Linked DNA regions of Arabidopsis thaliana. The protein of the gene in region 1 purifies or fractionates together with the protein of each later gene. This does not show direct contact. Each region holds a gene or a part of one and is shown on either strand. Other genes may lie near its edges.

Region 1 (5,207 bases):
TAAATGATAATTGGTAAACATCCATGCACATGTTGTTTGAGGTTTTTTTTTGGTTATACATGTTCAAGGATTTTATTGAAGCACTATATATAATATAAGTTTTAAATTTATTATATACATGCTACATTTAAAAAAGATAAAATATTATCATAAATTTTAAAAAATTCTTAGATATGTAATTTATTATATTTAAAGGTAATTTAAAGAATCATTAGAAACAGATAAAAAAAATAATGTGCTATCCAGGATAATACTATCTTTTTTAAGCGCTGATATAATCATTATTTAATTTTTTTTTTATATTTTTCTTTTAAAAACCCTCCAGCTAATTATCTACAAAAATAATAACACAAATTTAATATTAAAATTATAATTTTTGTCAACAGTATGATTATAATATGGGTTTGAACCATGATAATGACACAATAACAATACAAGTTCAATTAGGCTATTTGGCATGACCAATTTCAAACTAGAGTTGAGAACTTGAGATGTAATTTAATTCATATTAACTCATCACAAAAACGTGTATAAAGTTTTCATTGTTTCAAGTGAAAAATATTTATACATTTGTAAATGATATATGTTTTTAAAAGAACTAGAATGTTGAGAATTTGTAATTTATGCGAAGATACAATAACCGGAAAGTAAAAGATTTCAAACAAACTCGTTTTCACATTTGAATACTCCACCATGTAGTGCTCGCAGCTACGATTCCATCTTGCCCGAAATCTGGTCACTCCAATGAACGTCTTCACCGGAAAATCCACAAGTTACAATGGTCAAAACCATTTTGTCAAAAACAAGTTCCAACAACTATGACTGGAATCTTATACATTTTAAAAGAACACTTGACTTTAGCGTGAAGAGAGTATTTTGGCGTTGGTGCACAGATCTCTCAACTCCTCAGACATCGACCTCTGACTATCTATGGTCTTCTTCTACACAATAATATTACGTACTAACTACTCTGCAAAGGATCTTAGTATTGTTAAATGCAAAGAAGTTGAAACCAAAAGCCCTGAAGGAAAACATGCGATGTTCGGGGCTAAAGAATGAAATAGTTAAGGATCGAACTTTTCTTATTGATCTAACCAGGGATTATAGTATCCGATCACAAGAATATTTCCTTGAGGATTAAGAGTAGCAGCATGATGAAACAGAGGATGACAAGCACGGATGCGCACTTCACCATACCTCCATGTCTCTGCGTTCGCTCTGCCTGTGAAGTTTTTTTATGCGATCCACTTCATTTAGAATTGGGACAAACAAATAGTTGGACATTAATGTTGAAGAGAGAACACTATTTTTACCTTCTGTAGTTGTTTGAGACCATCTTCAACAGTAGTAGCGACGTTTTCGATATTATAGTCTATCCGATCAACTATTGTACCCTGCAATTAAACGGGTTGCTTTGAGTTTGTTTTTCGAAAGGAAGAAGACTCAAAAGCTAGACAAAGAGAATATGGGATTAAATAAGTTTAACCTGATCTATCACAAGTGCAGAAAGATCCTTCATAATTTGAGCAAGATCGTTTACTGATTCTACAACCTGGACAATGACACAGACAACGAAGAAGAAAAAAGATTATGATTGATTGCAAAAGAAAAAAAAAAACGTTGGTGAGCTACAAACAACTAAGAACAAAGACGTAGTGCAAGCACTTGCCTGTTGTATCTCTTTCTCCCTCTCTACAGATACTTCTTCACTCTTTTTTATCTTTGACATCTGATGCTCGTTTAACTAAAAAGGAATCGAGAAAAAATTCCATCAATAAAGAAGACATAAGACGAATGATTGCTTTAAATCGATAGAATGAAACAGGTATAGGAGTCAAACCATATCGCCAAAGTCATCCTCTTCAGGTCTATATCTGTTTCTGCTCAGATTCATCTCTAAATCCATCCCATCCTGATAAATGATAATACATTTCAAGTCAAAGCTTCTTGAGAGGACAGAATAATATACTCTGAAAAAACAAGTACTAAAAGAATCTATCATCTATGAAATCGATGTAAAGAAGTTTCATTTGAGGCGGAGGAGCAGAAAGCAAACAAAAACTTCAAAGAATGAGACACTGCAACATCACATAGTTTCCGGTATAAGAAATGCCAATTACACTAAAATAGATAATAGTTTCATACCTCTTTTTGCTGCCTCAAGCGTTTCAAATATGTTGACTGTTTTTTGCGAAGCTCCATAGAAAGAAGTTGGAGGTCAGTGGCAAGAGACCGCTGTTATTAAACACACATGATAAATCTTAGATAGCAATGGCAAATGCAGCAAAAAGAAAGGAAATGTGTTAAGAGCAGCTTCCATCAAGTCAAAACTACCTGCACATTTTTCCTAACATTTGAATCTTCAGAAGGCCCTGAAGCAGAAAGCCTCTGAAGTTGCTTCTCAGACTTCTTCAATAGAAAAGTTATCTCCTGTGTCAAAGACTCAATATTATGTTGATCTTCTTTACCATCCCCAAACGATGGCATTAACGCCTTGGCATGAGCCTTTCCCAACTCAGCCATTTTAGTCCTTGCACGCTGTATATTCACAGATATCTCCTCAGAGACATCAACCCAAGCTGGTGGTAAGCCCACTGTTATCGCACCTTTACTAAAACATGACCAAAAATATCTCAGTAACTACTAACTCTCAGCTTAACGTAGCTCACAGACATTTACTTCAACTACACTATCAATGATGTATTATCATTCTCATTGCTAAGCTAATCATTTCCAGTTAACCCTAATTGATCAAATTGTTCACCATTTTCACTGATAAAGAGAGAGAAGAGTACCTAGAAGTTCCAGGATCTTCGGTACTAATAGGAGCGTAAGAGCGATTCGGATTCAATAACGAAGTACTCGCCATCTCGATCACCGGACCAACGCCGCCGGATCGTGTTCCCGTCAATGAAGATGACGACAATGGAGCTCTGACGCTTCTCAGAGAGTTTCTGTACTTCCTAAACAGCAACGTACGATTCCTCGTCGCCATGATCGTCAAAATTTGAAATCCCTAGAATCTCAATTTCACATCCAAATTCGAAATCAGCTCCGATCTGAACACAATCGCGGCTTCATCATCGACCGAGAATAAAACCGAACACAAAAATTGGGACTCCGACAAGGAAGTGCTCGGAGAGCGGCGAGATCAAAACTTTTTCCGATGAGGAAAGTAAACTCTCAGATTTGCAAATTGAGGTTTTCACTTTTCACTATTTCCCCAAAACTTAAAACTTTGGAAACAGTAAAAAAAAAAGTTAAAAAACAGTTGCGCGGCTAACTTTGTCCTGTTTCACCAGCTTACCAAATACAAACCAATAATATTTCGACACGTAAGCGTCGTACTAACAGCATGACGTTTTGATATTCCAAAAGGGAAAAACACGGCGGGTAAAAGGTTTAAACGGCATGCATTCGTGCGGGCTGTTAAAAAACAATTTAATACATGTAATAGAACTCATCTCTTCTATGTCTTTCACTCTCTCTCTCTCTCTATATCCAAAGAATTAAAAACCATAATAAAAAAAGAAGATAAAAAGACGAATTCCAGAAAAAAAAGACGCAAAATCGTCGTCGTCGTCTTCGTCTTTGCATTTCGTCGGAATCTTTTGATTCTTGAATCGGAATATCTCTGTTTTTGTTTTATCCGGACTCAAGATCAATTCGGATTCTTGGAATTTATTTGATTTTTTGTTGTTGTTGTTGAAAAAGTGGATTCTTTGGTTTCGATTTGTAATAATCTTCGTAGAAAAAATGGATTCTGATTCTTGGAGTGATCGTCTCGCATCGGCTTCAAGAAGATATCAGCTCGATTTCTTGTCTCGATCTGGTGAGTTTGATAAAAATTATAACTTGGATTTGTTCTTTCTTAATTTGAGATTTGATTGGTTTTGTCTTAAATTTAATCTTGATTCTATTGCAAAAATATCAATGATATTTAGACCTCAAATTTGTTTTCTTTTGAATTGATCAAGGATCGAGATTGACTGTAAGAGATTGACATTTTTGTTACTGTTCTGGTTTTCCGAACAAAATGGGACAAGACATTGATTGTGTCTTGTTCTGAATATTTGAAATGGTGATTGTTCAAATGTTTGTTTTGCTGATATTGAATTTAAGGAAAATGGAGGAAATAAATTCTGTCTTTTGAGGCATTTTACTAATGTGAGGCTTTAGGGATTGATTAAGCGTGTGTGTTTTGTTTCTAGGTTTTGGTATGAACTTAATGTCAAAAGCTGGAATCTTGATGATTCTTGTTTGACTTACAAGTAAATACAAAACTTCTTGTTGGTAAAAACGTTTTTAAAAGCTTTAGTTTCATCTCAAACTTAGACGTCTTTGCCAGGGAAGGTTTTATGATCTACTAGTTTCCATTCGTTTATTTAGATATCTTTGATGTTTCTTCTGAAACCCATTTGTATTGGAACTTCGAGAATGGAACGCGTTTTTAGTATTTCCCATTTTATTTTCTAGGCTTTTGTTTTGTAGTTGTCATTTTATTTTCTAGGCTTTTGTTTTGTAGTTGTCACATTTTCGAATGTTCTCTTGGCCGTGTTTGACTAGTTTCTTCATTTTTGAAAAACGCAGACAATTTCTTGGGGTTTGAGGAGATAGAAGGAGAAGATGACTTCAGGGAGGAGTATGCTTGCCCGTTCTGTTCAGACTATTTTGATATCGTCTCTCTATGCTGTCACATTGATGAAGATCATCCTATGGATGCAAAAAATGGGGTAGATATTTCCTCAATGTTACCTTTCTCTCGTTTTGAATCAAAATCTATTTATTGTTTCATCATATCATTCTTGGTAAGAGCACTGTTCTATGTTTAGTAGTTACTGGTCTTGGATATAAAGAAAGTGAAAGTAACCTAATGAAATGCGTCGAAATAGTATTTGGAATTGCCACTCAGTGTTCCTCAGAGAAGAAATCAACTCTAGGACACTTGTTTATTGCTACAATAGCAAGATTTGTTTTCAATTCTGCGTTTTGACATTGTTAATCTTGTAGGTATGTCCCATTTGTGCGGTGAAAGTGAGCTCTGATATGATTGCTCATATAACCCTACAACATGCAAATATGTTCAAGATATCCTTTTTGCTCTCTCTACCAGTTATATTTTTAACGATCATGTACTTATCTGATTCTTCCAATGAGTTGTGTTAATGATATGAATACTTCCTGATTTATGATTTAGGAAATAGTTT
Region 2 (6,608 bases), on another chromosome or scaffold:
AGGAAGTAAACTTTGATTTGAATGACAGGCCACAGTTTTTCATTGATTCACGTGATCAGGGTCCCTACTATGGGCGGCACCCATGGAGTACAGCCTCCTATGGGGGGCACAAATTGGAAGAACCAGGTATATCTATCTTGGGTACAAAAGTGGAAGCTGACAGAAAAGACTCTGTACCTCAGATGGCTTCGTTCTTGTCCAATGGCAAGTCCCTCGAGCCTGCAACAGGTTTACACATGGGAAGAACGGGAAACTCTTTGGGTCTAGCCCCTGGTGTCTCCTTTTCTCCAGCCCCTATGTATGGCTACAACGGATTGACTGGTCCTCCTGGTTTGTCAATGTCATCACCCATGTATGTTCCTGGAACTGCTATTCCATACATGGTGGATTCAAGAGGTACCCCAGTGATGATGCCGCAAATAATCGGATCAGCGCCGTATGTGCAGCCACCATTCCCTCAACAACACATGTTCATGAGCTTGGCGGGTGGATCGCCTAGTACGAATGGATCAATGCGGCCAAACTTTGATCAGAACTCTGGGTTTGGACTTGAGATAGGAAACAGAGAGTCGCTAAATTTGAGGCAGTTTCTATCACCTTCACAAAGCGGGGCTATGGGAGAGCATTCAGGAGCAAATGTAGAGCCCTCATCGAGTTCTTCTATCAGCATTGGTGGAAAGCGAAAAGAGCCGGAGCCACGTTGGGAGTTTCCTCCATGGAGGTGAGTGATCTACAAAGTGGTGGAGATGGGTTCTTGAATAGGTTGATGAATTGATTGATTGGTCAAAGGATGATGACAAGTGTTTTGAGGTAACTTATAAAGTGTCTTGCTGAACTTTTCCTTCTTTTTTTTTTATTTCCTCAGTTTTCCCATTTTTCAGGTTTTTTATTTTATTTCATAACATATAGGAGGATTAGTTCAAACATTGGTATATGTCAAGCTTCTTTTTAACCTTGTTGGGTTTTTCTCCATAAATAAATATATAGTTTTAAGATACAGAAAAGGTTCTAGTGGTTTGATTAATCTGTTGCGTCCATTTTCGTTCCATTCGTCGATATGTTATGCTCTCATTTCTGAACAACTGTTCATGGAAGAAAGCAGCGAAGGAGGTCTCTGGTGAGGAAGGAAGTCTCTCACGTGTTGTATCTTTCAATAAATAATGGGACCAAATAGACATTACCATTTTTGAACCGCGCATACATATTGCTACTACGGATGAGTGATGACTATGATCTTCCCAAATTGACAAATTGTATCGCCTTTAGGCGAGACTTTAGCCATCAACCGATTAAAGCCAGCCAAACGTAATAACCTTGGCAAGCATAATCATCGTTGTACAAAGAAAAACATCATTTTACTTTTGTATCCGACATCAATAAAAGCATAGCATCCTAATATCCAATAGTTATTTGTCACATGTAAAACAACTAAATATAGCCGTCCGATCGTCCCAATTAGGACGTAAACGAATATCACCGTTGATTTAGCATACTTTGATAATTTAAAAGTCGTCCATCCACGCCACAACCCCGAAATCCACGTCGCTCCACGTCAAGAACAAAACCTTGCTCCAATACAAAACTACCACGTGGCTATCTCACAATACGATCCGTTAGATCTGACACGTTGGCAAATCATGACGAAGCTAACCAATCAGGAGAAACTAAAGTGTACGCAACTAAACAGTTCACACATCACTGAATCATTTCCTATTATATACGGATCTATCGAGCTGAATCATCATCATCACTGAGTAACCCGAAAGCAAAGACTGAGAGAACCAAGGCTCCGATCTAACAATGAGGAAGAGGACGCTCGTGTCCGTTTTGTTCCTTTTCTCGCTTCTGTTTCTTCTTCCAGATCAAGGTACGTTTCGATGTATATATGTGTTGATTTTGAGTAGATAGATATAAGTGTTGCTTAGGATTCATATGCTGATGATGGCGATATTTCTGTGGTGTTTATCATAGGAAGAAAGTTACACGCGAATGCAGAAGAGAGTTCCGATGATGTTACAGATCCACCAAAAGTTGAGGAGAAAATTGGTGGTCACGGTGGTTTATCGACGGATTCCGATGTAGTTCATAGGTTAGTGTTCTGTTAGTTTCACGGTAGAACTTTCGCTTGGATTGCTTGAATCTTGCCTTATTCGAATTCGTTTGATCGACAGAGAGTCTGAGTCGATGTCAAAGAAGACGCTTCGCAGTAACGCGGAGAAGTTTGAGTTCCAAGCTGAGGTTTCTCGGCTTATGGACATTATTATCAACTCTCTATACAGTAACAAGGACATTTTCTTAAGAGAGTTGATCTCCAATGCTTCTGATGTAAGCAGCTTCGTGTACATTGTTTTAGTGAGTTTTTGGGATACCTCGTTAAATAGGGGAACTAATAAGTGTCTGTGTTGGTGATTTTCAGGCCTTGGACAAAATTAGGTTCCTTGCACTCACTGACAAAGACGTTTTGGGTGAAGGTGACACTGCTAAGCTTGAGATCCAGGTTAGCTACATGTTTCTCAATATGATTTTTATGCTTGAGAGTGTTGAAAATAGAGTTTCATCGATTTGTTTTATCAAATGCTGATCTCAGTAAATTTAGCCTTTCGTTGGAATTGTGTCTAGTGTAAGCTTTTTTCTTACCTCCGTAACTATGCTATGGTATGCAGATTAAGCTAGACAAAGCCAAGAAGATTCTTTCTATTCGAGACCGGGGAATTGGTATGACTAAGGAAGACTTAATCAAGAACCTTGGTACCATAGCAAAATCTGGAACGTCAGGTACGTTACTTATGTGGTGATACGTTGTCCTGCATAATAGTATGGATCAATAAATTCCATATTTCTAAGATCTTGCCTTTCGCAGCTTTTGTTGAGAAAATGCAATCAAGTGGGGATTTGAACCTTATTGGACAATTTGGAGTTGGATTCTACTCTGCCTATCTTGTTGCTGACTACATTGAAGTCATTAGCAAGCACAATGATGACAGCCAGTAAGTTGATTTAGAGGGCTTTGTTTGGCAATATACTTGTGGGCATGTAAAATCATTGAAAAGCTTTTCTGATAACTTCTTTTCCGTTTTCAGGTATGTATGGGAATCAAAGGCTAACGGTAAATTTGCTGTTTCCGAGGATACATGGAATGAGCCTCTTGGACGTGGAACCGAGATTAGATTACATCTTAGGGATGAAGCTGGCGAGTACCTAGAAGAAAGTAAACTTAAGGTGGGTAATATTTTGATAAGAAAGTAAATTTCTCTTTTGTTACAAACCTAAATTAAGCAATGCAAAGAACCAGAATAACCCAGGGTTTGTTGTAGAGAACCCCAAACTCTCCTGAGGGGAAGTGGTTCAGCATTATTATGAATTCAGTGCACTGCTTATTCAATATTTCTGTTTATCCTCTCATTATGGTTGCTAATGATCATTGTTGTCTACTACAGGAATTGGTGAAGAGATATTCTGAATTCATTAACTTCCCTATCTCCCTCTGGGCTAGCAAAGAGGTTGAAACCGAGGTCCCAGTTGAGGAAGATGAATCAGCTGATGAGGAAACTGGTGAGTATTAATGAAACACCATATTATAATTTTCTGCTGCAGTGTTATCTTTTTTCCCTTCAGTTTAGGCAGCCCTGATTTTTGGTAATGGTACTTGACTTCAGAAACCACCTCTACCGAGGAAGAAAAGGAAGAAGATGCTGAGGAGGAAGATGGTGAGAAAAAGCAGAAAACCAAGAAGGTGAAAGAAACAGTTTATGAATGGGAGCTTCTGAATGATGTTAAGGCTATATGGCTGAGAAGTCCAAAGGAGGTGACAGAGGAAGAGTACACTAAATTCTACCACTCTCTCTCAAAGGTGAAAACCATGCGTTAACTAAATCATACTTGTTACATACTAGGTGTAAAATTTTCGTGTGGATTTCCCTGACCCCAGTTGTTATACAGGATTTTACCGACGAGAAGCCAATGGCTTGGAGTCACTTTAATGCTGAAGGTGATGTTGAATTCAAGGCTGTGTTGTATGTTCCTCCGAAAGCTCCCCATGATCTATACGAGAGCTATTACAACAGCAACAAGGCGAACTTGAAGCTATATGTCAGGAGGGTGTTCATCTCAGATGAATTTGATGAGCTTCTGCCTAAGTATTTGAGTTTCTTGAAGGTAAACTACTTGAAAGACAAACTAAGGGGTTCTTTCAATACAAATTTATGGGCTAAATCCCTAACGTGAGTTGCTTTTGCAGGGTCTTGTTGACTCTGACACATTGCCTCTAAATGTATCAAGAGAAATGCTTCAACAACACAGCAGCTTAAAGACAATTAAGAAGAAGCTTATCCGAAAGGCGCTTGATATGATCCGCAAGCTTGCTGAAGAAGATCCTGATGAAATCCATGATGATGAGAAAAAAGGTATTCCATAAAACAAGTTTCTTGGTATCAATCCACTTTGACCGTTCCACTTTTTTTTACCATTTGGTAGCTTCATCTTTCTGAAACATGGTCTAAGCTTATTGACTTGTTGGCACGCAGATGTGGAGAAGTCTGGTGAGAACGATGAGAAGAAGGGTCAATACACAAAATTCTGGAACGAGTTTGGCAAGTCTGTCAAACTAGGTATCATTGAGGATGCTGCTAACAGGAACCGCTTGGCAAAACTTCTTCGTTTTGAGACGTAAGCTCTGTTACTTTTTTTTTAATACACGTCTGTCCATTCATTAGCACCAGCAGGCTAAAGATTTGTATTTTGCTATTTCAGAACAAAGTCCGATGGAAAATTGACTTCCCTGGATCAGTACATTAAGAGAATGAAAAAGAGCCAAAAGGACATATTTTACATCACAGGAAGCAGCAAGGAACAGCTAGAGAAATCTCCATTCCTGGAGAGGCTCATCAAGAAGGGCTATGAGGTTTGCATTGCACACGAATAATTCTTCTTTAAATGATCTCCAACTCGCATAACACGTTCTCATACTTGTGTTCCCAGGTCATCTTCTTCACAGACCCAGTTGATGAATACTTGATGCAATACCTGATGGATTACGAAGACAAAAAGTTCCAGAATGTGTCCAAGGAAGGACTGAAGGTTGGGAAAGATTCAAAAGACAAGGAGCTGAAGGAAGCATTCAAGGAGCTAACAAAGTGGTGGAAAGGAAATCTCGCTAGCGAAAACGTAGACGATGTCAAAATCAGCAACCGTTTGGCTGACACTCCATGTGTAGTCGTAACATCCAAGTTTGGATGGAGTGCTAATATGGAGAGGATCATGCAGTCCCAAACTCTCTCGGATGCTAATAAGCAAGCTTACATGCGCGGAAAGAGAGTCCTCGAGATCAACCCACGACACCCTATCATCAAAGAACTCAAGGATAGAATTGCAAGTGACCCAGAGGTAAAACAAACATAAGACCCATCAATTCTTTTTTTTACTTACTGTCTATTAGAGAAATAAACTAACATACCAAATTCTCTCAGGATGAGAGTGTGAAGGAAACAGCACAGCTCATGTACCAGACAGCTTTGATCGAGAGTGGATTCATACTCACCGACCCAAAAGACTTTGCTGCCCGTATTTATAACTCAGTCAAGAGCGGTCTGAACATCAGCCCTGATGCAGTAGCCGACGAGGAAATCGAGGCAGCAGAGGAACCAGAGACCAGTGAGGCAACTGAGACGAAATCAGATGACTTGGCTGGTGGTCTAAACATTGAAGCCGAACCCGTTGAGCAACAAGAAGAGAACACCAAGGACGAACTGTAGATTTCACTTCTGATGTTTCTCCTTTGTGTTTACCTCTTTAGTTTAAAGCAGAACATCGTTTTACTCGAATATCAAGATTAGTTTAATTAAGCAGTTTTTGATGGATTATGTAAACGCACTACTTGCATTCTAGAGATCAAGGAACCTAAACTTCTTCTTTTCAATGTATGAGTTTTTTATCTTTCAAGATTAATGGTCCTGCTGTCCGAGTTTATCTAGATTGTCCGAGTTTATCTAGATATGGTACCATAATATGCACTCTCTTTAGCTAATTTGGCCACCTATCATGCATATATTACTCGGTGTTATTTTCCACAAAATTTATTTTCGAAAACTTATGACTTTTGCAAAAATTTCAAACAGATAATCTGTAAAGCTATAGATTTTATATGGAAAAAGACTTTAATCAATATATTCGTGATAACATGGCTTTTCAAGATGTTGTTTTATCTTGTATCACTTTAAAACATAAAAGAAATTGGTCAATACTTTTGTGAGATCATCACATATCTTGAGCTTGACCCTTGAGACAACGTATATATAGAGGTGCTTTAAACTCTACTCTTGGTCTTTCTTTTTCCTCTTTTCTCTCTTGGTCTTTCGTTTTGTGAATATTCCAAACTTAATTTCTCCACCAAAAGTACTTTTTTTTTTTAATAGAGAGACAAAAATAAACAGTGATGATCATAACAGTCCTTCATTCTCATGTCTCATTCTATTTCATCATCCTTAGCTTCCTCTTCTTCCATGGTACGTAATATTCATATCTATCATACTTTCATATCAGTATGAATATTTCTATATAAAATGTAAATATTAACATATAGCTAAAGCATTGCATTTGGTAGGAAGTGATGG

The links. The genes of interacting proteins can lie anywhere in the genome.
Region 2: the proteins of SYP41 (region 1) and SHD purify together in Arabidopsis thaliana (affinity purification with mass spectrometry, with the first as the bait; one large-scale study listed by BioGRID). This does not show direct contact.

Annotation. Positions count from the first base shown.
Region 1 is NC_003076.8:9,487,610-9,492,816, forward strand, and holds SYP41 (syntaxin of plants 41), read right to left. Parts: upstream 3,484-5,207; 5' UTR 2,996-3,483; coding exon 2,796-2,995; intron 2,612-2,795; coding exon 2,335-2,611; intron 2,236-2,334; coding exon 2,146-2,235; intron 1,913-2,145; coding exon 1,841-1,912; intron 1,745-1,840; coding exon 1,670-1,744; intron 1,553-1,669; coding exon 1,487-1,552; intron 1,395-1,486; coding exon 1,314-1,394; intron 1,223-1,313; coding exon 1,115-1,222; 3' UTR 524-1,114; downstream 1-523. Other genes in the region: AT5G26990 (Drought-responsive family protein), read left to right, coding at 3,757-3,832, 4,591-4,733, 5,011-5,088. UniProt on the Arabidopsis thaliana protein: Contributes to the regulation of secretory and vacuolar transport pathways in the post-Golgi network, and to the maintenance of the Golgi apparatus and trans-Golgi network (TGN) morphologies. Together with VTI12, required for membrane fusion.
Region 2 is NC_003075.7:12,551,044-12,557,651, reverse strand, and holds SHD (Chaperone protein htpG family protein), read left to right. Parts: upstream 1-1,593; 5' UTR 1,594-1,800; coding exon 1,801-1,867; coding exon of another isoform or gene 1,868-1,871; intron 1,872-1,971; coding exon 1,972-2,089; intron 2,090-2,171; coding exon 2,172-2,325; intron 2,326-2,416; coding exon 2,417-2,497; intron 2,498-2,663; coding exon 2,664-2,775; intron 2,776-2,860; coding exon 2,861-2,987; intron 2,988-3,080; coding exon 3,081-3,219; intron 3,220-3,437; coding exon 3,438-3,552; intron 3,553-3,656; coding exon 3,657-3,850; intron 3,851-3,939; coding exon 3,940-4,155; intron 4,156-4,237; coding exon 4,238-4,403; intron 4,404-4,523; coding exon 4,524-4,665; intron 4,666-4,749; coding exon 4,750-4,900; intron 4,901-4,977; coding exon 4,978-5,382; intron 5,383-5,465; coding exon 5,466-5,750; 3' UTR 5,751-6,100; downstream 6,101-6,608. Other genes in the region: AT4G24200 (Transcription elongation factor (TFIIS) family protein), read left to right, coding at 1-725; TLP1 (THAUMATIN-LIKE PROTEIN 1), read left to right, coding at 6,431-6,500, 6,584-6,608. UniProt on the Arabidopsis thaliana protein: May have a molecular chaperone role in the processing of secreted materials. Required for shoot apical meristem (SAM), root apical meristem (RAM) and floral meristem (FM) formation, probably by regulating the folding of CLAVATA proteins (CLVs).